Linked DNA regions of Pelodiscus sinensis. The protein of the gene in region 2 purifies or fractionates together with the protein of the main gene of each other region. This does not show direct contact. Links are inferred from orthologs where the notes say so. Each region holds a gene or a part of one and is shown on either strand. Other genes may lie near its edges.

Region 1 (7,921 bases), on a different chromosome or scaffold from region 2:
ACAAAGTCAGTGCTCTTGTACCAATTCAAGCGGCCAGTGTAGACAGCTGGCAAGTTTTTGCGCAAAAGTGGCCTCTTTTGCACAAAATCTTGCCAGTCTATATGCACCCTAACAATGATGAGATTGTTAATGACAAAGCAAATGTAACCTTTAAAGGATTTATAATTATTATTTCTTAAAGCAAAAGCAGATAGAGAACTTTGTGTAACAACAAAAGAGTTATTCCAAACCCAACTCCAAAGTCCCACTGATGGAAAGATTTCTAGTTCAGAGAAATCCTGAGATCAAAGGTGAGAACTTGCTAAGACTTTACCAACCAGGCCTCTAATGATCAAATCTAAATAGCACAAGAGGTGGTTATGTTCAGCTCCTTTCTGCACAACAAAAATTTCCAAGTGTAAAATTCTGGCTCCATTGAAGGCACTGGGCAGAATGATCATTGACCTCCTCGGAACCAAGATTTCACTTCAAGGCTTTATATAATTCTAAGAGGAGGATGACACCTCACCACAAGAAACCTTCATCTATGGTAGAGAGTATGTTGAGCTCAAGCTGGTGGAACCAGCCTCAGTGAACACTGTATACTGGGACCTGAACACAAACATTGCCAGGCTTGGCTAATCCACCAAGTCAGCCAATTTGGAGAGCCTAGTCAGTTTGGAGTCTTTGCCAAAGGATAAATTGAACTAAGTTCTGTTTCAGCTTCCCTGAGCTACTGGAATTGGAGGATGTTAGAAATTTGCTGCTTTCCAGTTTCTGAATCCCCTGCTCCTTTATAATGAAAGTTTCAGGCTACATTTACACTATCGTTCGGATTGATGCTCTGAGATCGATCGACTGGCGGTTCATTTAGTGGATCAAGTTAAGACCTAAGCTCCCTGTAAGCTGCACGGCTGTGGGACAGTGCAGAGATTTTTGCTAAAACATCTACTGATTAGTCTAGAGGTGCATATGTGTGTGTGTACAGGATGGAAATATCAGAATTGCCTGAGTAATTTAAGAGCACAAATCCCAATTGCTCATGTTCCTATATCACTTAAGTGCTGTCAAAAATGCCACCTATAGTAGTTAAATATCAGTCAATTGAATAGTCTATTAATCTCATGAATTCTTGTCGGTTACACAACTATTCTATAGTCCCCAGGGGTGGGGCTGGCAGCCAGTGCACTCTGGTCCTTCTCCCGAGCAGCCCCCTGCCACTCTTGCAATGCTGCCTCTGTATCATAAGCAGCAGTGCGGGGTGCTTGTCTGTGAGGGAGCCAATTTAAAAACCAGCTCCCCTTGCAGCCTGGCTGTCTGTTGCCCCACAGCACTGCCTCTGATGCAGAGGACAGCAGCATGGGGTGGCAGTAGCCCCTGTCAGAGGGAAGATGAGGGGATCTGAGCTCCCAGACTCAGCATGAGCCAGGCTGCTGGCCAGCCTGCTAAAAAATTGCCTGGTTGGGGGCCGGAAAGGAGAATGTGTGAAGTATATAGTATTAACCTATAAGCTTTTGCTTATCAGTTAATTGGTTAATTGACTATGTTATTACTTCCCTAACCCATAGCGGAGCAAAAGGAGGCGATGAGTCTAAGCTGCAAAGTTTAGAGCTGCTTTTGGATGCTCCCAAATGTTCGGTGGGTGTTAGTTCAGGTGCATGTCTGTGTCCCAGTATCTCAGAGGGAGAATAAAAGAGACAGAGACAGAGATTCAAGTACTTTGCTTTAGTCAGTTTCAATAGAAATCCCTCCCAGTACTATAACACAAAATTTTGACCTGAACTTTGTTACACTGTTTCACAATAGTAAATGATGCATCAAACTGTATTTATTATTATTGTTATTAATTATTTTTATTTTATTAGCTATACTCTAGGAGCATCTAGGAGCCCTAGTTATGGGCCAGGCCCATTGTGCTGGGTACTATACGACACAGAACAAAAAGATGGCCCTCAATTAAAATGTAAACAGATTCATTTCCTCACCTTTGCTCTGATAGGGAGGTCATTTACTTGTGAGTAATTTTCCCTCTATGCAGTATAATATTCCCTGTAGCGGGGTGCTCTGGCAATAACTTTTGCACAATGTAATACTCCTAATGTTTCATAATCCCAGCACATGGCATGGTATTCCAAAAGCTGATATGAACTGTAAATGGTATTTCACGTGGTAGGAGTTCCTCCAATTACAATATTTTGAATCATGTGCTGTTGTTAATACACAGTTCGTGAAAGGAAAGGTAGCCATTATAACAGGTCCAGCAAACCTGTTAGGATCAGCAATGCAGTGCAGAAAGGCTTATTAAAATCAGCAGGGTTTGGCTTAATAATGTGTGAAAAATACAGTTTGAAAATAAGGCAGAGATCACACATGTTGAATTTAAAAATCTCTATGGATTCAGTGGCCCATGTGAAATGAGTTTTAGGAGTTTCAGCTCAGTTCCTAGTAAACAAATCCGTCTGAGGAAGCCACCCACATTAACCAGGTTCTGAGGCTGCTTGGAGAAGTTTGCATTGGATTTCCTCTTTCAGTGCCAGTTTAGTAGAATGGCAGATGTGGGACTGTTAATTTGGCCCATTTTCACCAGCATTAATTTTCCATGATTGTAAAAGTCAGTTGGGTCAATATCACAGATGTGCAATTCCTGCCTGTTGCACTTAAAAATCTGTGGGCCAAACTCCCTATGGGTGCAAATAAGTCTCACTCAATTCAACATTTCACCCACTTACACCAGCAGCAATTTTGGCCCTATATTTTAAAAACAATAGAAAAACCTAAGCCCCCGTGTCAGACTGACAGAACACAAAATATTTGTTCCAGAAGTTGAAAATCTCTTTCCCCATGCCCCACCCCCACCCCAGACCAAAAAGTTAGCCTTAGGGTGAGTGACCCTGGAAAAAAGCTTGCTTTGATTTGGTTTTATTTTGTAATTTATGAAGGAGATTGGACTAGTTTAAATTTTAATATCTTTGTAAAAACGAATCGCTCATTTGCTTTGGGTCTCATGTGACAAGCTTGTGGATGATGGAATTTGTGGGGCAAAACGGAAAGCTTCCCTGAAGCAAGAACTTTCTTGGCAGCAAGCACAGCTGATTGATCAGAGCAGAACCACATTAAATGTCATGCCCACCAAAAACCACCCTCTTATAACTCTCATTAATTTACCTTGTCCAGACACCCCCTTCTCACGCTTTCAGATGCCTTTCACTTCCGCCTCTTTGCATAGCAGGAGGGAGAGTCACTAAAAACTCCTCCTGGTCATGTGGCTGTAATGACAGAGGTATCCTGAAAGGCAGCTGAAGGCAAGAAACCAGACCCCCAGTTTAGCTGTGCTGTAATCCTAACCAGGAGTAGCAAGGATTTTAAGGAATTTAGGACAGAGACGGGTTAAATCTTGCATGACAGTATGTTACTAAGGGTCAGATTAAAGCTGTATGTCTCAGAAAGGATATTTTCCTGCATACGGGGATTGTACTTCCCCTTCAGGTTTAGGAATCAATATTATTGGCCAGAGCACTTGTCAGTCCTATGTGCCTGGGATAGCAATAGGAGGCCCGTAACTGAGTGCTAAAGAATTTGTCTGCAGCTATCAGATGACTGGATAGACCAATCAAGTGGGTTTAGGGTTGTCAATTTTCTCTTTGCTCTAAAGGGCACTCCTATGTGAAATGGCAGAGTACAGAACTGTGCACCAATGTATTATCATTTATTATGTTTCTGATTTAAAAATATATATTATATTGTATATATAACATATGAATAAACATGAGTTGGTAGATACAGATACGCTCCCTCTCAGGAGTGTCCTCTTTTTTTGAAAATTCAAATATGGTAACCCATTAGGTAACACACAAATCACACAAGTAACTGTAGAAAAGTTCAGGGGGTAGCCGAGTTTGTCTGTTACAGAAAAAAAACAACCAATGGTCTGGTAGCACTTGATAGACCAGTGGTCCCCAACCATTTGGGGTTGCCGGGCACCAGGGGGCGTGGCCGTTCGCCCGCCGGCCGCCCAGGGGGGCAGGGCCCCCCCATAGCCACATTCCGGGGGCCGGCGCTCTCCCCTCAAGCGCCACGCGCCCAGGGCCGGCGCTCTCTCCCCCCCTCCCCCAAGCGCCGCGCGCCCGGGGCCGGCGCTGGCGCTCTCTCCCCCCCTCCCCCAAGCGCCACGCGCCCGGGGCCGGCGCTCTCTCCCCCCCTCCCCCAAGCGCCGCACGCCCGGGGCCGGCGCTGGCGCTCTCTCCCCCCCCCCCCCCCGCCATGCGCCGCGGGGGGTCAATCCGTGGCGCCCCCGGGGCCGGCGCTCACCGTGCGCCACGCACCCAGGGCCGGCTCCGGCACCGCGCATGTGCCACGTGCCCGGCCCCAGGCCAGCCCTGAGCACTTGGCGGGCGCCGACAAATGCCCCTGCGGGCGCCATGGCGCCCGCGGGCACCGTGTTGGGGACCACGGTTATAGACTAACAAAACATGTAGATGGGATCATGAGCTTTCGTGGGCACAGGCCACCCCAATTCCTGCTTTTGGGCCCAATCATGTCTGTTTTTTGTGGGGAACCACAAAAATTACTAGGATTCTGAGACATGCAAACCTGTTTGGGGGAAAGAAATTCCATATTGTGAAACTGTTTTCATTTCAAAGGGTGTGATGCTGACCTCCTCTGATTTTTAATTATTCATGAGGGTTTTTTTAAATCCTCCTTTTTAAAAATTAAACTGGTTATTGAAATTTTTTCATTTGTTCAAAATGTGGTTTTTGTTACTAACTGAAGACACGTTATGATGTTTTAGATGAAAATATTGAAAAAGGCACACACCTATTTTTAATTAAATTTTTCACTAAAAAGTCATTTGGAACAAACAAACAAACAAACAAAAAAGACTTGCTTTATTTGGGTGGAATATGAGTGCACATGCAATTCAGGCATGAACCCTGTAATCCAGCGTTTCCCAAACTATGGGCCACGGCCTGATACTGGGCCGCAGGAAAAAAGTACCGGACCTCAGCATGGTTGCCGAGGTGTTCCAGGCTCCCGAAGTGCCTGTGTGGCACCAGGTCCCCAAGCCCTTGGCCGGCCTGGGCAGAGTCTGCAGCTGAATCTTCCGGCTAGCGGAGGTTGGGGGCGGCGAGGAGGAGGAGGGGAGAGCCGGCCATCAGAAGCAGCACTGGATGGGGAAATCAGGGCGGACCAGGGAGATTGGGGGAGGGGCAGCCGGCACAAGCAAAGCTGGGCAGAGGGCTGGCCCGGGGAGATTAGGAGGAGGAGTAGGGGAGAAGCGCCCGCTGGAAGCAGGGCTTGCTTGGGGCATCGGGACTGACCGTGAGAAATTGGGGGGCTGGCAGAAGCAGGGCTGCTGGGGGGCGCGAGGTCGGGGGTAGGGAGCTGGCCAGGAAAATGGAGGGGGGGGGGGACAAGAGGCCGCCAGAAGCAGGGCTGGACGCGGGCATCAGGACTGGTCAAGGGAGACTGGGAGGAGAAGCGGGGGCGAACTGGCTGCCCGGGAGGAGACTGGGGGAAGTGGGGCTGGCCGGAGGCACAGCGGGGGGAGCGAACTGACCCGGCCATATGCGGATCTCGGGGCGCTGCCTGCCCACCCCGCAAAGCACGAATGAGTCTGGCCCAGGGATTCTATTGTGCCCCCCATCCCCCCTGCCCTCTTGAGTAGTTGTGAACTGTCTGGCTGGTAAACACGCTCATGCAGTCTGAGCACATTTACCAGCCAAGCAGTTCGAAACTACAAACTGATACAGCTAGTAATAATATGACTTACCTACTGAGAAAAGTCTGGTATTTTCTCAGTTTGTTTTTTATGTGTTTATATTTTTGGGCTGCAAAAAACAGTACAGAAAAAAAGGGTTCCAACTGAAGTAAAAAGTTTGGGAAACCCTGGTCTAACCAGCTTTCTGTCTGTCTTACTGCCCATTTATCCAATCCATATTCCTTAACTTGCTGGGAAGAATATTGTGGGTGACTATATCAAAAGCTTTGCTAAAGCTGGCACTGGGGGCTTTGGGAGGACCAGAAACAACTTATTTGAATATTCATCATTTGATTAATGAATATGCAAGTATACAAATGAATGTTACCAGTCCTCCAAAAGTTTGTGAATAGATTTACTGGTCCCCGTGTCAAAAAGTTTGGGAACCCCTGCTGTAATCTCCTTGCATAGAGTTGGTTTAAATAGCCCTCTCTTTCTTCTTCCCCTGTGCACATGTATTGGAGCAGGAAGGGTATGTCTAGACCACAGGCTTTTGTCTGTCGAAAAAAAGCATCTAGATTACAGCCAGTTCTGTCAACAAAGCAAGCTGCTTTTTTGACAGAGAGTCTAGACGCTCTCTTTTGAAAAAGCATAGTGTAGATGCAATAGCACCTTTTTTTGACATAACTCTGTTATTCCTCATAGAATGAGGTTTACCGCTGTCGACAAAACTGCCGCATTCTGTCGACTTACTGTCCACGTTTGTTGACAAAACCCTGTAGTCTAGACACACCCTAAGGAACCAGGCAGTAGAAAATGGGTGCTAAGCACCCAATGGATTGTTCTGACTGTCACAGTAGAGTAGCTTAATTGGTAGTGTTGCTATAGTGCCAATACCATGATTCAAAAATTGAGAGTCAGGCCCAAAAAATCATGAATGACTTAAAAATCCTTAGATGTGTTTACATTGCATGTTGTGTCATTCACTTGCTTGTTGTAGGGCTTTTCCCTAAAATTATGATGCCTAGTAGCTTCCTCTTCCTTTAGAAGGAACGCTGAGATACTCGTGTCATTGTATGACCTCAGCAGCAGGGTCTTTGCTTTCAGAACAGCAGGAAATACTTCAAGACACACGATAAAATCACAAGTTGGCAGGGCTTAATTTATAACAAAAAAGGTGCCAGAGCTCAATTTTTTTTTAAATTTCATAACCAATGTGACAAACCCGTGGTGCTGGGGGCCATGAACTGCCATGCCTAGAGGTTCTGGGCCTCAGCCCTTGTAAAAATTAAGCTATCCTGAATCCACAGGCTGGGAGTGGGTGAGTCATCCTCAATGGGGAGGGGTGTTGTCTAGGCAAGGCTCACACTGAGGTTGGCAGGAGAAGACCATGGCCACAGAGTTGGGAGAGATGGGCGGAGCTCAAGCCCTGGCAAGGTCTCCCACCCCATAGCACACCCCACAGCCTGTGTGCCTCGGATACCTTCTATATTTAAATGACAGAATCATTAAAAAAAGGATAGAGAATAAGACAGAGAATATCTTTTTGCCTTTGTATAAAACTATGGTACGCTCACATCTTGAATACTGTGTACAGATGTGGTCGCCTCATCTCAAAAAAGATATACTGGCATTGGAAAGGGTTCAGAAAAGGGCAACTAAAATGATTAGGGGTTTGGAATGGGTCCCATATGAAGAGAGGTTAAAGCGACTGGGACTTTTGAGACTAAGGGAGGATATGATAGAGGCATATAAAATCATGAGTGGTGTGGAAAGGGTGAATAAAGAAAAGTTATTTATTAGTTCCCATAATAGAAGAACTAGAAGACACCAAATGAAATTAATGGGTAGCAGGTTTAAAACTAATAAAAGAAAGTTCTTCTTCACACAGCGCGTTGTCAACCTGTGGAACTCTTTGCCAGAGGAGGCTGTGAAGGCTAGGACTATAACAGAGTTTAAAGAGAAGCTAATTTCATGAAGGTTAGGTCCATAAAAGGCAATTAGCCAGGGTATAGCAATGGTGTCCCTGGCCTCTGTTTGTCAGAGGCTGGAGACGGATGGCAGAAGACAAAGGATGGCGGGGAGTGGGGTTGGCTGGGAGGAGGTCGGGGGAGGAGGGCTGGCTGGGGGCGGAGGCGGAGAGAGTGGGGCTGGCCGGAGGAGAACCAACTGTTGGGGAGCGGGGCTGGCCAGGAGTGGGTCGGGGGGAGTGGGGCTGGCCAGGGGAGATGGGGGAGGACGACT
Region 2 (8,642 bases):
TTTACATTAGCAGCTTTTGCATTAATTCTCCCATCACATACAAGATGCAATCAAGTGCAAATCCACTAATGTAAAACCAATGTAAAGTAAGGGAAGACTCAGGCCAGGTTGGGAATAAAAGGTGCAGTCTGGAAAAAGGTTTCTACTTACAGAAAATCTGTGGCATTTTCGCCCCCTAAAATAGCATGTTGGGTAGGGAAATTCCAACAGTTGGTGTCAGGGTGAGTAGTTGCTTTACCACAAGAGAAAAAGATGGGGGGAAGCCCACAAATGAAGTTTAGGGACTTCCCAAACAAAGCAATGAAGCAGAATTTTCTACTCATTCTGGACAAAAGTAGTCAGGACAAACAAAATCACTTTTCAGTATGATTATTGGCAATACTTATCTACACTGCTGTCTATCAGACAGACAGTAGTGTAAATAGGTATAACTTATTCTACACTGCAGTGCAAGCCCAGGTTGAAACTCAGGCCAGTGCTACACTAAACCCGAAAGATTGGCTCAAGGTGTGTAACTAACGTAGCTGGAGTCAGCATATCTTAAACCAAGCTTGTTGCCATCTTCACAGTGGATGTTAATGGGAGCAAACACTCCCATCCGCTTCCCTTATTCCTTGTGACTGGGAGGAGTACCAATGCTGACCCGAGATGCGCTCAGCATTCAATTTAGCAGGTCTTAACTAGACCCACTAAATCAAACACCAGAAGATCTATCACCGGAGCATAAGTATAGATGTGGCCTCAGACTCACGTGCTACTCTCCCTTCTGTCTACTCACAAACGTCTTGGACTTTGGCTCAAACCCAAGGTCTTAGACAGGAGTCAGCAACCTATGGCTCCTGAACCAAATATGGCTCTTTGGCAGCTGGAACGCAGCCCCCCTCCTCATTCCCTCCACTACAAGGAGCCCATACTAGCACTTCAGCCTTGCAGCCCCCTCACCTCCACAAGATTGGTGCGCTAGCGCTAGCTTCCTGTGGGGGCAGAGAGGGGAGAAAGCCCCGAACCTCGCTGCATGATCCAACTCGCAGGGGAGAAGTGGAGGCAGATGTGGCTCTGCGCGCTGCTGCATCCCCTCCCTTGGCTGCAGGAACAGCAGCACATGGACATGCTGCCTGTAGGATTTCTCCGCTGTTCCCACTGGCCAATGAGAGCAGCAAGAGGTGCCTGAGAGCAACATGGGGCGCAAAAGCAAGTGAATGCCCCCTTCCTCTCATGCCCAGACTTGGCACCCCAACTCCCTGCCCACTGAGACCCTGCACTCCCAGCCCACTCCTGCACCCCTCCCCCTGGCCAGACACCCAAACTGCTCCTGCATCCTTCCCCTGGTCAGACACCCCACCGTCAGCCTGTTCCTGCACTCTACCTCCCACCCTCATCCCCTCCTGCACCCCATCTCCCACCCAGATCCTGCACCCCCATCCCTACCCCACTCACTGGCCGCTCTGTCCCAAACACTGAACCCTTCCTTTTTGGCTCCACACCAGAGCCTAAGGAAGTCCACAAAATCCACTGCCCCTCAAAGCCCAAGAGAGTTAATCTGGCCTGAGGCCTTGAACTTCATTTCTTCCTCCTCTCCATGGGGATGGAGTGCCAGGGAAGTGGGGTGTCTCAGTGGGGGGCCACATCAGTGAGGGCTGTGGGATTTTGGAGGGGTTTTTTGCTGCTCATTTGTGTGGTCCCTAATTTTTCTGTGGGTCAGTGGCCCCCACCCCGAAAAAGGTTCCCCGCTCCTGCCATAAATAAAGAATGTTGAAACCTTTTGTATTGGACATAACATTTTTACTTCATTTAAAATAAAGTTTGCTAAACTAATATGAGAAAGCTGAAGTGCTTAATCTGTTCAATAATTTCAACTAATATTTTCTTTCTTACTGGCTAAATTAAACTGTTCTCCCTTGCTGCACCATTAGCAAAATGGCTCGAGTGTAATTATATAATTAGCGTCAAGTTTCCATTAGGACCTGGTGGTCCACGGAAAGGTTTATAATGACCTGGGTGGGCCATGGGCCAAAGGGCCTGTTCTTTTGCCATTCCCAAAATACATGGAACTTTTTAAATTAAAACGAAAAATTAATACACAATTTCAAAGACACATAAAATGGGCAGGCTGGGGGCACTCTGCTCATTGAAAGGGCCAGCTGAGGATGTGCTGGAAAGAACACGTGCACGCTCCCAGCTGGCATAGCGAGAGGGGCTGGCGGCAGCAGATACCTCCACCTGGCTGCCACAGCTCGGCTCCAGCCCCCATCTTTCTGCCGCGGTCTGTCCCCAGCTGCAGTGCTCCTGAGGTGGACCCCGCAGCTCAGTCATGGTGGACCTGCGACTGCTGCAACAGCCCAGCCATGGTGGCCCGGTTTAGGTTCCAGCTACGGCAGCCTGGCCAACTAGGCCCCAATCGGAAGCCAATCCCCCATCTGTCCACAGGGTCCTGTCCCTAGCACCGATCCTGGGGCAAGCCCCACTGTATGGTCCCCATCTGGCTGCAGGAAGGGCTGGTGGCAGCTCCCCTCCTGCTGCGGCACAGGTAGGAGGGGAGGCCATAATCTGGCTGTGGCGATCCTGGCCTGGCCCCTCATCCCAGCCACTGCAGCAGCCCAGCCTCGGCTAGGTAAAGTAATCCATTCCCAGAACCTCCCCGCATACTCTGCTTCCCATCCCAGCACCCTGCCCTGCTGCCTGCACCTCCCACACATCCCATCCCCCTGTCCTGAGCCCTTCATACAGCCCAATCCTGACTGCTGCACCCCCACGTCCACAAACCCCCAGCAGCAGCAGAAGTCCATTAAATAAAGCCTGTGAGTACAATGTTTCATTGGTGCTATTATTAATCATCACATCAATCATCAATCATTTTCAGTTGTATATTTTCAGTCATGCAATTGGGCACTCTTATGCCGGCTCTTTGTTCTGAGTTTTGATGTAATTTGGCTCTTTGACGTGAAAAGATTGCCAACCCTTGCTCTAGAACTTTCCAGAACAAATAAAATTCTAGAATCAGGGCCTGACCCAGTCCTGTATTAAGGTTCGTATAGTGGCCATCTTGGCATTCCACCCTCCAATTCAGGACAGATCTGTGTTTTGGCACCAGCTGTTGGCTCAGTTCTTGAAAGGCTCTTCCCTTCTGTCAAGAATCACCTCCCAAATGGGACCTCTGTTGGGTCCTCTCTAGGCTGACAGGACCACCCTTTGAGCCATTGGGCTCGTGTTCCCTGGCTCATTTATCGTGGAAGGTCGCTTTCCTCATGGCGGTGATATCGGCCAGATGAGTGTCAAAAGCCTTGACATCAGAACCATATTCAGTCCTCTATCTGGCTCTGACCCCAGATGGTCTTTTTACTGAAAGTGCTATGGCCCTTCCATGTTAACCAGGATATTTTCCTCCCGGCGTTTTACCTTAAGTCACATGCCAATAATGAGGAGAGGAGGCTGCATGCTTTGGATGTCAAGTGTGCCTTGACTTTTTATCTGGCACACACCAGGCCCTTCATGGAAATCAACCCAGCTCTTCATGGCAACTGCTGACAGGATGAAGGGCCTTCCAGTGTCTACACAGAGGATCTCCAATCAAAGATCAAAGCGTGTTACTGCATCAAAGCGTATTATGACCCGGCACATGTCCTGCCACTGGTGGTCACAGGCATTATCGGCTGCATTCCTTGCTCACGTCCCAGTCCAGGACATCTGTAGAGCTGCAATGTGATCTTCCATACACACATTCACGACTCACTACAGCCACACAGACTAGGGAGGACACTGGCTTTGTCAGTGCTGTGCTACAAGCGACATATCCCTGAACTCCTATCTGCTTCCATGAATACTGCTTGGAAGTCACCCAGTTTGGAATGGCTGTGAGCAAGCACTGGAAGACAAAACAGTTATCTGTTCCATAACTGGTGGTCCTCGAGATGTCTATTTCTCAACCCACCCTCCTTCCTCACTTGTTGGAGTTTCCAGTGGGCAGGAACTGAGGGTGATGAAAGTGTGAAGCATCCCTTATATTGTGCTTTGAGAGTTGCTAGAGTTGCTCCCCTGTGGATACTGGACCATGGTGCTTGTAGCGTGCACACACACCTGACTTGGAATGGACATGAGCAGCATCTCAAAGACCACCAATTACAGAACAGGTCTTTTAGCATCCGCCTGTTTCTTTGTCACTGTCCGGGTGGATACAAATTGATTTTTTTAAAGTCTACTGTTAAACAAATTATGTAGAGCAATTGCATCTTCTATAGGTGGGGAGACAATATTTTCTTCATTTCAGATTATAGTTATCTAGTTCAGTTCATTTACTATCTCATTCAAAGTTAAAAACCCAATTGGGAGTTGGAAAAATGAAGGACACTGTTTTTCTCTGCCACTCCATGTGGAAAAAGTAGGTGTAAGAGAGTAAGATCTACTAGTTCTAAATTCTTGAAGGACAACGTAACCAGGAACAAATCAGTTAAATTCACAAATCACTGATAATACTGCCTTTGTTTAATAAACTGGTTAGTTTTCAATGTTTTGATACACTTTCTGATAAACTTTCTTCTGATGTATACAGCACTTTTAATATCATTTTATTTAATAAAAACAATTAAAATGCTATTTTTCTGCATTTTAATTTAATTTGAATTTCCATCCTATTTGAGTGTGACAAAGATCACACAAAAAATTTAATCTACTATATCAGAAAAGCCTTCACCATTTTCTATTAAAAATGTCAAAACAAAGAAGCTGAATAAGTATATGCTAATGGGCTAATCTATATAGTTGCTTTGCTTAAAGAAATATGTAGAGATATAGTGTAGTTAGCAAAAATCACCAGCAAAATATAGCCTTTCCACTAAATTAATTTAGTTGCAAGTCAGCATGCTTCTGAGGTTACAAATTAATGAGAAATCAACATTTCCTTAAGTCACATTCTAAAAAGTACAAATGCAAAACATGATTAAAATAGTGGTTTCCTGCTTGCTGATTTAATTTCTGTATAAAGGGACTTTTCCCCCTGAGAACCATGCTATAGACCTGATGTTCTAGGCAATTTATAGGCTCAACTTTCTCCGTCCATGCAGAACCTCCCCAGGATCAGATCTGTAAATCCAGAATACAAATCAAGGAAGTTAGGGTTTTTGGGGGGTGGGAAAGTTAGGAGGGGCATGGGCTGAGATAATAAAAATGGATTTTGGTAAACCAAGACTGGCTGTTTTTCTGGAAATTGTGCTCTAGTTCAAAAAGGAGTAAATTCAGGAAAGTCTTATGTCTGCAGTATAGGAGGTCAGACAAGATGATTACCAGGGATCCTAGTAATCCATTTAGAAAAAACACAGAATTTGCATTTTTACAAAAAATCTCTAGTTTTTACATTGTGTAAAAAAATATAAATATTAACTATTAACTAAATCTTACTGAAGGTGTCAGTGTCACTTATTCACTGTGTGCAGCCTCCCACTCTTGATTTTTAAATTTACATAGCTAAACATACTACAATAAACTACTTCCAATGTACTGAAGTTACTCGACAGTGTATAGGGTTCTGTGTTTTAATGTCTCTCACATTTCACTTCAACCTCCAGACATGAGTAATCAAAGTTATGAAAAGATACCAAAAACTTTAAAACCACCCCTAGAGTCAATGAATTTGGCAAGGAGAAATTTCACATTGATGATACAGGTAGAACCTCTCTAGTCTCGCATCTTCTGGACCTCACTGGTGCTGAACCAGAGAATTTGCTGAACCATTCAAGATCAATATTTTCTATCAGTATTACCAACACTTCCACTGCTTACAGGCCTCTTAGAAGATATTTAGGTGTAAATTAGAGCTAAACAGCACAACAGAACACTGGACTGGTGGCTGTAAACAAACTTTATGAGACCTCAGGAAACTTGGCCACACACACCCATGATAAGTGGACATCCAGCCAAAAGAAAGCATGCTGAACCACAGATGTTACTGGACTAGAGTGTGCTACACTAGACTAGTTCAACCTGTTCTGCACTGTATGCAGTAAGGTCATAGATTACATTCGAAGGCAGACACTTGTAGAACACATGGAAAGCGCCAAACTAGACTAAAAAAACAAAAAACAAAAAACACAAGAGAGGCTGAAACAGTAGGACCATCAACAACTGTAAAGAAACAATGTACTATGACTATCACGTGAGTGTTTTTATGCGTTTAAAACCCACAATTTCCTGAAAATATAGAATACAAACATACAACTGTTAGGTATACATAAAACATACAAATAGCAATTCTATTAATTTTATTATAGTGTTTGTGAAATGGATAGGCTTGAACTTGCTAAAAAATGGTAAATATATCAATAAAACATTGCATTCAACTGATACCTATATATATTGTGGCTAGGGAAACTAAAATTCAGCGTTTCATTTCAACTGTGGACAAACTGAAGAATTTTGGGGTTTTTCCTTTCACAGAAAGCTAAGATCCCTAATAATCACAATGGCCCCTTTCAGACATACTATCTATGAATAACATTGACAAATGGAAACTGCCGATTTCCTCATTGGTTTGGAGTCATAATTTTCCTGTGTGTTTCTTCCTGTGAAATCAGGGTCAAGGCAGTCAATCCTAGAAAAGGCTGAGCAGGCTCAACTCCTACTGAAGTAGATAGATGCTGGACACTGTCAGGCCATTTCATGATTTGGACCACTGTCAGGGCGAATGATCCAAGAGTTGAAGGCCCTCGGTACCTTGTAGGACTGGGACCTAACTGAATAGATCCAGTCCATTGGTCTTTTGGAACTGCAAGTTGAATCCATCTCAGAAAGCGGCTCCTAGTTTAGTGTCTCACTGACGCTTCTTGTCTGGCGTTGGCACCTGGAAGATCAGTTGCTTCCGCAGGGTTGATTTTATTTCTGGCATCTGCTTTTTGTCGAGAAACACTTTTTCTCCCACTTTCTTATTGACTTCTGTCAGAATGGTCAACAGATCTACACGCCTTGAACAAATTACAAGGGGAAACAAGAGTGATACGGAAACACACAGGACTTTCAGAGTAGCCGTGTGAGGCTGGTCAGGAAAGTTGTCCAGGTTTGGGTGACATGATCCCCTGGAGCAAGGACAATGGCTTTCCTTTACCCTAGCTAGGCGGTGGGTAAGGAAGGCAAGGGAACGCATTGCCTTCCCAAAACAACTGGGGTGGTCCCACCCATGCTCCGCCCTAGGGCCCCTCCTACCTGTGAGCAGTGGGTTGCTCTTGGACTGGTGCTGGGGCTGGCGATTGGAGAGGGAGAGGTGCAGGGCTGGCCAGCCCCCTGGTGCTTCAGGGCCAGAAAGGCTGGTGTCGACTGGTTCTACGACCGTCTGGGAAGGCTGGAGCTGCCCAGCTGCTCAGCCAACTGGTGCTCCTGCCAGCCAGGAAGGCTGGGGCCACACCACCCGTGGAAGGGGGGAGGCACAGAGGCCTGGGGGCATCCCAAGGCTGGGAACCACTAGCCTGGGGTGGGGACCAGCTGCTACAGCAAGAGCGAGCTTGGTTCCATGGTGGTGGGGGGCATTGTGGAAGGGACGGGGACTCGAGCTGAAGCGCAGGCCTGGGGACTTGCCTTCCCCAGCTGGGGTTTCACCCACCACCTATGGTACGATGTAACCATTGCATTCAACATATATCAGAAGAAAAAAGAATTTCAGAAAGGCCACTCGGTGTAAGCTTTTCTATCAAGCTGCATTTCTTGATACTGGTTAGAAGGAGCATTTAGATAATATGGAGACGCCAATGAACATCATCCAACCCTCCTGCTGCTCTCCATGATGCTACACAAGACTGATCACAGACACCATTTGCCTTCATTTCCAAAGCACAACACTGGCGCGGCTTCTTCTATAGACTGCAGCCTAGGGAAGGGTGGTTCTTGCCATTGCTCTTCACTAAAAAGAACTGCCTGCTTCCTCTGGCTTCCACTAATTCCCACTGGAAGAACAAAACCACTGGTCATTTAACATTGTGAAGTACTATATAGGAGACGTCTGGGAAGGCAGCACAGTATGGAGCAGCGACAGGCAACCAAGGCTGGTGAGTGGGCCACGAGTGGCCCTCCATCTCAGTGGGCATGTGCATTAACCATGACCAGCATGGTTTTTGCTTTAAATGGGGGTCACTTCTCATTTCGCCCCACCCTGTCCTCACACTCCAGCCCTTCCATCAAAACACTGCCCGGCTCGTCTCTGTCCCCTCCAAACACGCCTCATCCCCTCTCCTTCCCTTTCCTCCCAGCACTTCCAGAACTCTGTGAATCAGCTGACCTGTCCCTGATCCTCCACCCTCCCTCCCAGAATTCGAATGCTGTGAATCAGCTGATTTGTGGTATTCAAACTCTGGGAAGGAGGGCGGAGGAGCAGGGACAGGTCAGCTGATTCACAGAGTTCCGGAAGCGCTGGAAGGGGGGAGGAGGAGGGGGAGGTAAGTGCGGGGTCCCTAGGCACGAGAGGCATGGGGAGACGGCTCAGAGGGAGGCTGTGCAGGCCGAACATAGAACCCGGACAGGTGATATGTGGGCCACAGGTTGCCCACCACTGGTGTGGCGGATTGAGCTGGGAACTGGGCACCTGCAGGTTCAGCCCAATAATCCTGGCTACACTGCTGATTCCCATAACCTCAGGCAAGTCACAGAGAGTCTGTCTGGTTTGTGAA
Region 3 (8,452 bases), on a different chromosome or scaffold from region 2:
AAATTCAGCGTTTCGGAAATAGACAAGCTTATTCTTTAAGCCAGTCACAGAACATTTTTTTTCTGTAAACCCTGAAATATAATACTTAAGCTTTTCCTGTTGCAGATTAACATTGAATTGGCTTTCCATTTTTTGGTAGCAAATGGATATACTTATACCAGACTTTTTTTTTTAAAAAGAACCTCTCATTTATCTGGTGTATTTTTCTTTGTCAGCATAGATATTGGCCAGCAGTTACATTCTAAAATGAATAGACGTGTTAGTGTTCCTGTGTCTGTCTCATGCATTTTAGAGTAGATGAACCTCTGTGGAAACCACTCCCTGCTTCAGAAGCAGTGTGTCAGAAAGGAAAAGAGTAAATTGGAAGAGTACAGTGGGCAATTGCTAAGCCTTGAGAACAGTCAAGTAGGGGTAGAAATCAGGCATTGCCGTGCTGAATTCGTACACTCGGTTAAATGTGGAGAGCACTTTTATATGGGGAGTTTTAAGAAGCTGAGTTCATTATTGAATAAATGAATTGTGGCTCAAAGAATTGCCAAATATTTGTAAATGAAATGAGTACACAACGTGTAAACTAAACTCTTCAATAAAAGCTGTTCATAATTAAGTCTTAACTTGTATTTGAGCATTGAGCCAAAATACTGTGACAGAAGCTTTAAATGAAAACTCCTAATACGCAGTAACTCCCATTCTATCCAGACATCAGAAATGTGCATTTACAGCACTGTGAAGGCTGATACCCCACTCTGGCATGATGAATGCAGAAGTGGGGGCCCACAAAAGCAACCCCAAAACCTTATCTCTACAAGCTTTGGTACAACACTTCCCCGCAAAATCTTAACTTAGATTTTGGGGATAAAAATATGCTGCTACCATCAGGTGCTTTTAAACCCACGACCGGGGGTGGATGCTTGAAACCAACTCCAGGGCACCCCACGCTCTTTTCCCCAAAGAGCTTGGAAAAAAAAAAAGAGAGAAAATACAAATTGCAGTCTGTGGTTGCTGTCCCCTAACCAGAGGCATGCAGATCTCAGACAGATTTTTCAGAACACAGAAATGAACCAATACCAGGTTAATAAAAAAGAAAACTTTTATTACCAAAACAATACTATTGTTGCAAGCATAATGACTAGATGGAAAAAGTTACCAATTAATATACTCATGGGGGACCCCCATGGGCTCAGGACTTAGTTACAAAAGAGAGGAAAACCCATTCTAACAGCACAGACATCAGATCCAAATTTCCAAAACAGAAAACAATAAAACCTAATGGATTTATCTAAACTTTACCCTATTTATACATTATGAAGAGTCTTTTTCTTGGAGAGAGACATGTGTTCTGCCTCCCTCAGTATCCAGAGAGCAAACTGCCCAGAGACAAAGGAGGGAAAACCCCAAAATTCCTTTGTCTCAGTTTGAAGTCCTTACCTGCATTTCTATTGGCTGAATGCTACCTGGCTAGGTACAATTAACCCCTTGGTCTCCAGGCTGCTACCCATCCCTCATGGTTATAACAAACACTCTATGCTCTGCAGAGAAAAATGTGCATTATTAAATCTTGTTCAGTTTATATAAATTAGAGGATATTAAACTTAATAAAAAATGTTCTGAAACAGTGTTTTTGATTGCTGGAAACACCAAGACATTTTTTTAACATCAAACTCGAACTCCGATCTGGACAGCTCCCCGTGGAACCCGGAAAACACCCTGTACTTTTGCCTCCTGGCTGGGAAAAAATCAGAAAATGCCAGACATTTTAGGTGTCTGGTATTTTCTGAATTTTTGTACTGGACTGTCTGGCTCAATACCAGACACCTGGCAACCCTATGACTGCCCCAAGTACTGGGTCCTTGAACACTCCCTTCTTATCTTCTGAAAATGTATTCTGCAAATCTCAACTCTGGTCTAATGTCTCAGGCAAGATCTGCAGTTGCAGAATTATATGATCAGGTAGAAGTTAGTTGCTCTGGAGATAGAACTTTTCTATTGAACATTTTGATTGGTTTACTTTCCATGAATATGCATCCTGTTCATATCTCATAGATCTTAAGATGTATGGATGGAATGCAGAGTAATAGTCCTTTCGAGGAGGAATGAAACTTCATATATACTTTCATGGTTTTAGAAATTAGTGTCTGTGGTTGCAGTTACATTTTATTGTCCTTTCATATGTATCCTTTCTTTTCTTATAGTGGATCCAAATGACTTGTATATTGTAGAACCTCTGAAGTTTTCACCAGAAAAAAAGGTATAGTAGCTTCCTTTCCGGTTTCTGCCAGCAGATGGTGCTTTTTCTCAGTCACTTATCTACAACTAGCCTTGGAAGAATTAAGTATATCCACAAATGTCAGTGAACATTGGCTTCACACCCCCACCCCACCCCCACGTGATGATAAATATTTTTATCAGTCATCAGAGGGGTAGCCATGTTAGTCAACTTCAGCAAAAACAAGGAGGAGTTCTGGAATGCCTTAAAGACTAACAAATTTATTTAAGCATAAGATTTCAGGGGCTGGAACCCACTTTGTCAGGACTCAGTGTTGTATTTACATTTTATATCAATGATGATCAAAATTTACACAGTAAGAAAAATGATCCCTGAGAACTTTAGTTTGATGTAAAGATATTTACCTTATGTATTTTGCCATGTGATGTTGATAATTTGCTTTAACCAGGTAAAGCTTTAACTTTCTGAATTTCAGCATCTACTATATTAAATAATTTTGACCCCTTGGATAATTTCCTGCAAACTGCGACAATTTGACTAAAAATAAAAATGCTTAAAATAAACATCAGTATTATCTATCAGTTATTAGAGTTCTGACAAGCCTATGTATGATCTACTATTATTCATATGCGATATGATTTTGTTTGCATTGCACAATCTAATAGTTTCTTTTTCCTTCTTTAGAAGAAACGCTGCAAATATAAAAGTGAAAAGATAGAGACGATTAAACCAGCGTCAGAGCCTCTACATCCATTAGCCAATGGGGAAATAAAAGGAAGGAAACCCTTTACGAACCAGAGAGATTTCTCTAACATTGGCGAGGTATATCATTCCTCATATAAGGGTCCTCCATCTGAAGGAAGCTCAGAAACTTCATCTCAATCCGAGGAATCCTATTTTTGTGGCATTTCAGCATGCACGACTCTGTGCAACGGACAAACCCAAAAGACAAAAACTGAGAAGAGGGCTATAAAACGAAGGCGATCTAAGGTTCCAGACCAAGGGAAGTTCATAAAAACTCTAATACAGACTAAGACTGGGTCAATGCCAAGTCTGCATGACATAATCAAAGGAAACAAAGAGATAACTGTAGGAACACTTGGTGTCACAGCTGTTTCTGGACACATCTAAAACTAGTTGGATTTCTCATGCAGGAGAGTGTTTGTTCATCTGAGAACAGTCTGTTGTACATCTTGCAGGAGAGTGATGGGAGAAGAGATCAGCTAACTGGAAAGTATTCAGAAATTATGATTTCTGTTTTTTTTAAAATAGATGGGATTGTGTCAATCTTGGTTGAGTTTCAGCTTTACAAGGCTGATGACTTCCTCTGTGGACAAATGGGGGGTGGGAGGGATCATTTTATAAAGCTTTTTTCACAATTAGTGGGGCAAAGATAGTTGAAACCCAGTTTGTTGGGTGGAATAGGGATAAAAGCCTAATCCTCTTCCTTTAGCTTTGTTCCTATTTCTTGCACCTTCCCGTATTTATGTGCCTTTTGTCTATTTATAATGCCACTGGAAGAGGAAGAGAGAAAATTGTCCTTTGATTTCTTTTGTAACTTCTCTTGCTTTTTGGAGGAGGCGACACTACAGTGCTGTAAAGGGGCATGTTGGCAGTCAGCTGGACTCAGTAGTGTGGGCTGGAGACCGTAGTAATACTAACATGGCAGACTTGTCGATTGATCTCCATTTTGAAAACTCACTTGGAAAAGATCTTGTTAGAAGCAATTGTAATGCCATTAATTACATTTTAATCAACTTCAGAATTGTTTTATTTAGGTGTGTAAAATGAATTACAGCTATGCAGTTACACTCGCTGTACGTGAAGGAGCTCATGCTGACAAACATGCCTTTGATCCCCAGACTGACCTTTGGAATTCTGTTACAATACTTAACCAAAAAGGATTGATGCTTTATTTTAGTCACTCTGTTTTCTGATCCAAGAATTTGGACATTAGGGACTACATTCAAGGAGAAATGTAAGGGTGACTAGGTACAACTGAAAATATAAGTATCCTAACCAGGGTTGGGTACAAATGCACCTGACCAATGCAAGTGAGTTTGCCAAGCCTTGAAGTCTAACAGCTCAAGTCTGTATAAAAGTGGATATTTCCATAAAGTTTGCTTTTGTATTGGCTAAGATGTGCAGGGTGTGTGTGTGTGTGTGTTTTGGTACTTTCATATGAGTTTATTTTGACCATGGTTGTATATTTGGATAAAATCGAATGTGTGACTGCATACAATGGTGTGACTGAAGCAGAGTGAATGGGACAGAAGGTTACTCCTTTTTGAGAGGTGTTATAAGTTCATGTTGTAAAACTAAGTTAACTTATTGAGCACTTTTAGTGGTACCCTTTTTTAAACAGATCAAATGCCTTTTCTGGGTATTGTATGTAATGTGACTTATTTAAAGCTTTTGTTTTTGCTGCTTTCATGTTAGTTTATGGATACTTTATGGTGATGTACTTTTAGAGACGGTCTGCACAATTAGCCAGTCAGAGCACATGGACCTGATTTATAGAATGTCTAATCAGAAAGGGCTCCAAACAAGAATGAAGAAAAAATGCTTATACTATCTGAGTGCAGCAAACAATATTGTGGAACAAGATTATGTAACTACAGAGCTGTAGTGCCATTAGAAACTGTGAATTTCCGAATAAATCTGAACACTTGTCTTATGCATTTAGTAGCTTTTCTTTTATAAATCCCCTGTTAATGGGTTGAAGCTCAAATTTGTGAAGTTGTGTGGTTTAGTTTATAGGACACTGGACTGACTGAGGCACTAGGAAACCTGGAATTTACTCCTGCATCTTAGAAAAGTCCCTTTGCCTCTCTGCTTTGATTTATCCTCTCACCATGTGTGACGGCAGGGGGCCACTTCAGTCCAGCCAGGCTGGAGTGGCCTTCCTTCCCCTTCCCCTTCTCCCCCATTTAAGCAGTTAACTGGTTAAACGTAACATTTCACTGGTTAACAAATTAAACAGGATTTTACATTCCTAATTTAGAGTGTAGACTCTTAGAGCAAGGACTGTTTCTTACTATTTGTTTGAAGAGTAACCTGCGTCAGGGAGTCCTGATCTCAGGGCCTTTAGAGGTTGCTGTAATTATAAATGAGCTAGTTTACCACTTGTAGCAGCTATAAATGTGGATTTATTGTTTGTTTCATTGGCAAGAATCTTAATTTGTGCAACTTTTTCTTGTTTCTATATCTTTAATTGTAACTTACCAAGAACTTCATTTGCAGAAAAAGTAGGTGGGCTGTCACATTTCCTCAGGCAAGAAGTTGTTTGGCCTGTGGTTTGTTTTTTAGTCTCAATCTTGACCTCTTGCTAATTATTGCCGTCTCCTATAGCCTTCAATAACCTCACAAAAAAGAAACTAAGCGATTGGAGCCTTGAACATTTAATATCTTTCCATATGGCTGTAGGTGATGGTTACCTGTTCACATCCCTAATATCACTGCTAGCTCTTGGTGCCTGCTAGGCCTTGAGTGTCTCCCTGTGCAGGTGGGTCCTAGCCAAGACTATGTGAGGGTTGTAGTTTCCAGAAACTTTTTACCGTTTTTTTTTTTTTTTTTTCTAATCCTTCACAGTTGTGGCTATCTCCTCTCTGGAGATATCTGCATGACATTACTCTTGCAACAGTAACTTTAACCAAGGCAAGATTTATTAAAAACAGGGAAAGGGGCGCTATACATTTTGGGCAGGAATAAGAAAGGGGGTGGAGAAGGAGAGACAAGCCTCTCTTCTCAGATGTGCTTAAAAGGTTTTGGATGTACTAAAACCGTTCACATCTGGAGGTTTCTCTCCTTAGCAGCAAGACTCTCCAGACATTGGAAAGCATGACAGTTCTCTCTGGAGGAATACTTAGGAGTCACTGCGTGAGCATGAGGCTTGGATGACGACTCAGCAGATCTACATTCTCTTCCTGGGGTAAGTCATTTCACCACTCGTTGCCTCAGTTTCCCCATCTGTTACCCCCTTTGCCAAGCGTTTGAGAAGGACTAGTCAACATGCAGTATTAAGAGCTAGGGTTGTGTGACATGCATATTCATAAGCCAATTTTCATAAAGCATAACTCAAAGATGCTTTAAGCAAAATGTATCCTATAAATTATCATTTTTTTTTAAAGTTACAATCTGCCAAATGTGTGTGTTTCTGTGCATCTAAGTCTTTTAGTGAAAGCAGTTAGTGGTACTGTAGGAAACTTAGTCGTCCGGTGGTCAAGGCAATGATCTGTACATGGGCTTGTTTTTCCTGTAAGCCCAAACTGTGGCTGGCTGTAGAAAAACATATCACCTGGTGCTAGAATCTATTTTGAATCTGGTATTTTTCCATGAAGATAAGGGGGGGGAACAAAAGATTCCCACGCTGGGGGAAAGTATTTAAGGAATGGAAAGCAATTGGTCTTTTGTCTTCAGTTGGCCTTTGAAATGGCCTCTCCACCCTCAGAAGATACAAATGCAGTAACCTGGAAACAAAGAACTCTTAAGGACAGAAGGGGGACATCTAGACTGCAAACCTCTTTCAAAAAAGAGCATCTAGACTACAACCAGTACTTTCAAAAAAGCAAGCTGCTTTTTCGAAAGAGCACCCAGGTAGTCTGGATGCTCTTTCAAAAAACGACAGTTTGCATTACATAGCGCCTTTTTTCAAAAAAAGGTGTTCTTCCTCGTTAAAACTAGATTTTCTGCGGTCGAAAAAATTGCCCCATTTTGATTTACTTTCCAAAGAGCACAGCAGCAGCCTAGATGCAGGGGAAGTTTTTTCGAAAAAGGCTGCTTTTTCCAAAAAAACCCTGTAGTCTAGACACACCCAAGGAGCTGTAGACCCAGGCCAAAGAAAAATCAATGGTCTTGAAGCATTTTACCTGAAATAAGGACAAGGGTGAGGAATATACTTTGAAACAATTTGTCTTAGTGTAGTAGGCTTAATTGGCATGTTTTGTTTGTTTTGGTTTAGTAACTTAGATCTGTTTTCATATGCAATCACTTAAATCCTGCTTTTTATACTTAAGAAAAGTTTTTGTCAGACCCAGTGAAATAATTGTTACCTGGGAGGAATAACAGGTGTGCATCTCTCTCATTGATAGACAGCAAATCTAATGAGCTTTCTCTGTGTAAAACATTTAGAGTAAGATGGATTTATTTGAGGTTTTAGTCCCTTTTGGGGGTTGTGTTCCTGCGTGCTGTCAACAGCCTTATAGCCGGCCCTTCCCAGAGCCAAGCTGGTTCAGTGTCTGTTGCTTTGCTGGGGTGCTGTTACCCCAACTCGGTGGCTTGGCCGGAGAACCAGAGCTTCTGGCCCAACAGGACAGGGTGGCGGCGTGCCTCAGAGAGCAGGTAGGCAGGTTCCATACAGCGGGTGACAGCCTCAAGGGGACCTTTGTGATCGAACCGGTCACAGGTTGATTACCAGTGTCTTACCCACAAACCGGTGTGATAACTCCTAGCAGCCTGAATGGCCATATAGTCCTACAGAAAAGATTTTTGTTTGAAAAAACCCCAAATAAACTGGGCAATGCAGTAACACAGCATGTTGTTAACGCAGAGTTAAGTTTGCCTGGCTGTGTCCAGTACCCCTCTGGAACACTAATGTCTAAAACTCAGAAATTAAGAGCTAAAGGTCCTTCCTTGTGCAACCTTAATTCTGCCACCTTTGAGCAATGCCCCAGCAAACCCGTTACACAGAAATAACTCCATCCTTGCTAAATTTGATAATCCCTTTGCTCTGGCACAATTCATCCCTCTCATTTCCTACCTTGCCACTGACCAGAAGACCCCTGTGTACCAATTGTAACAGAACCTACCGGATTTAACAGAGACCAGGCAGGCTGGCTCGCACTGGCACCTCTTTCTGATCATACGAGAAGGGGTTCGACCCACTCAGAGGAAGAGCCCCACAGACATCCGACTCCATTCACAGCTCTGACAAGCGGCTCCAACTAATCACTCTGCCCTTCAGTACAGCTAGCACAGTGAATGCCTCTGGAGTGCATGCTAGGGGTGTAAGTGACTAGTCGGCTAACCAATAAGCCTAGGAAAGGCACAGGGGGTTTGGTCCCGGACCCGGCACGAGCCAGGACTGAGCCTCCCTGCTTTCCCCTATCGACTAATTGAGTAGTTGATAAAAAAAAATTCTACCGACTACTCAATTAGTAAATTAACCTCATTTTAACATCCCTGGTTCAGGCAGGTAATTCTCAGTGACTATTCCTGGTGCTGGAA

Evidence for each region. The genes of interacting proteins can lie anywhere in the genome.
Region 1: the proteins of caspase-8 (region 2) and TRADD purify together in Homo sapiens (affinity purification with western blotting; 6 studies listed by BioGRID and IntAct, with this or other methods). This does not show direct contact. The link is inferred for Pelodiscus sinensis from reciprocal best matches to the Homo sapiens genes CASP8 and TRADD.
Region 3: the proteins of caspase-8 (region 2) and FASLG purify together in Homo sapiens (co-immunoprecipitation; 8 studies listed by BioGRID and IntAct, with this or other methods). This does not show direct contact. The link is inferred for Pelodiscus sinensis from reciprocal best matches to the Homo sapiens genes CASP8 and FASLG.

The regions. Positions count from the first base shown.
Region 1 is NC_134722.1:39,337,968-39,345,888, reverse strand, and holds the start of TRADD (tumor necrosis factor receptor type 1-associated DEATH domain protein), read right to left. Parts: upstream 3,413-7,921; 5' UTR 3,145-3,412; intron 1-3,144. UniProt on the Homo sapiens protein: Adapter molecule for TNFRSF1A/TNFR1 that specifically associates with the cytoplasmic domain of activated TNFRSF1A/TNFR1 mediating its interaction with FADD.
Region 2 is NC_134717.1:56,935,349-56,943,990, reverse strand, and holds the start of caspase-8, read right to left. Parts: upstream 3,415-8,642; 5' UTR 3,397-3,414; intron 1-3,396. Other genes in the region: caspase-8-like, read right to left, coding at 6,800-6,950. UniProt on the Homo sapiens protein: Thiol protease that plays a key role in programmed cell death by acting as a molecular switch for apoptosis, necroptosis and pyroptosis, and is required to prevent tissue damage during embryonic development and adulthood.
Region 3 is NC_134719.1:64,391,178-64,399,629, forward strand, and holds the start of FASLG (tumor necrosis factor ligand superfamily member 6), read left to right. Parts: upstream 1-5,040; 5' UTR 5,041-8,452. Other genes in the region: SUCO (SUN domain-containing ossification factor), read left to right, coding at 2,193-2,248, 2,912-3,358. UniProt on the Homo sapiens protein: Cytokine that binds to TNFRSF6/FAS, a receptor that transduces the apoptotic signal into cells. Involved in cytotoxic T-cell-mediated apoptosis, natural killer cell-mediated apoptosis and in T-cell development.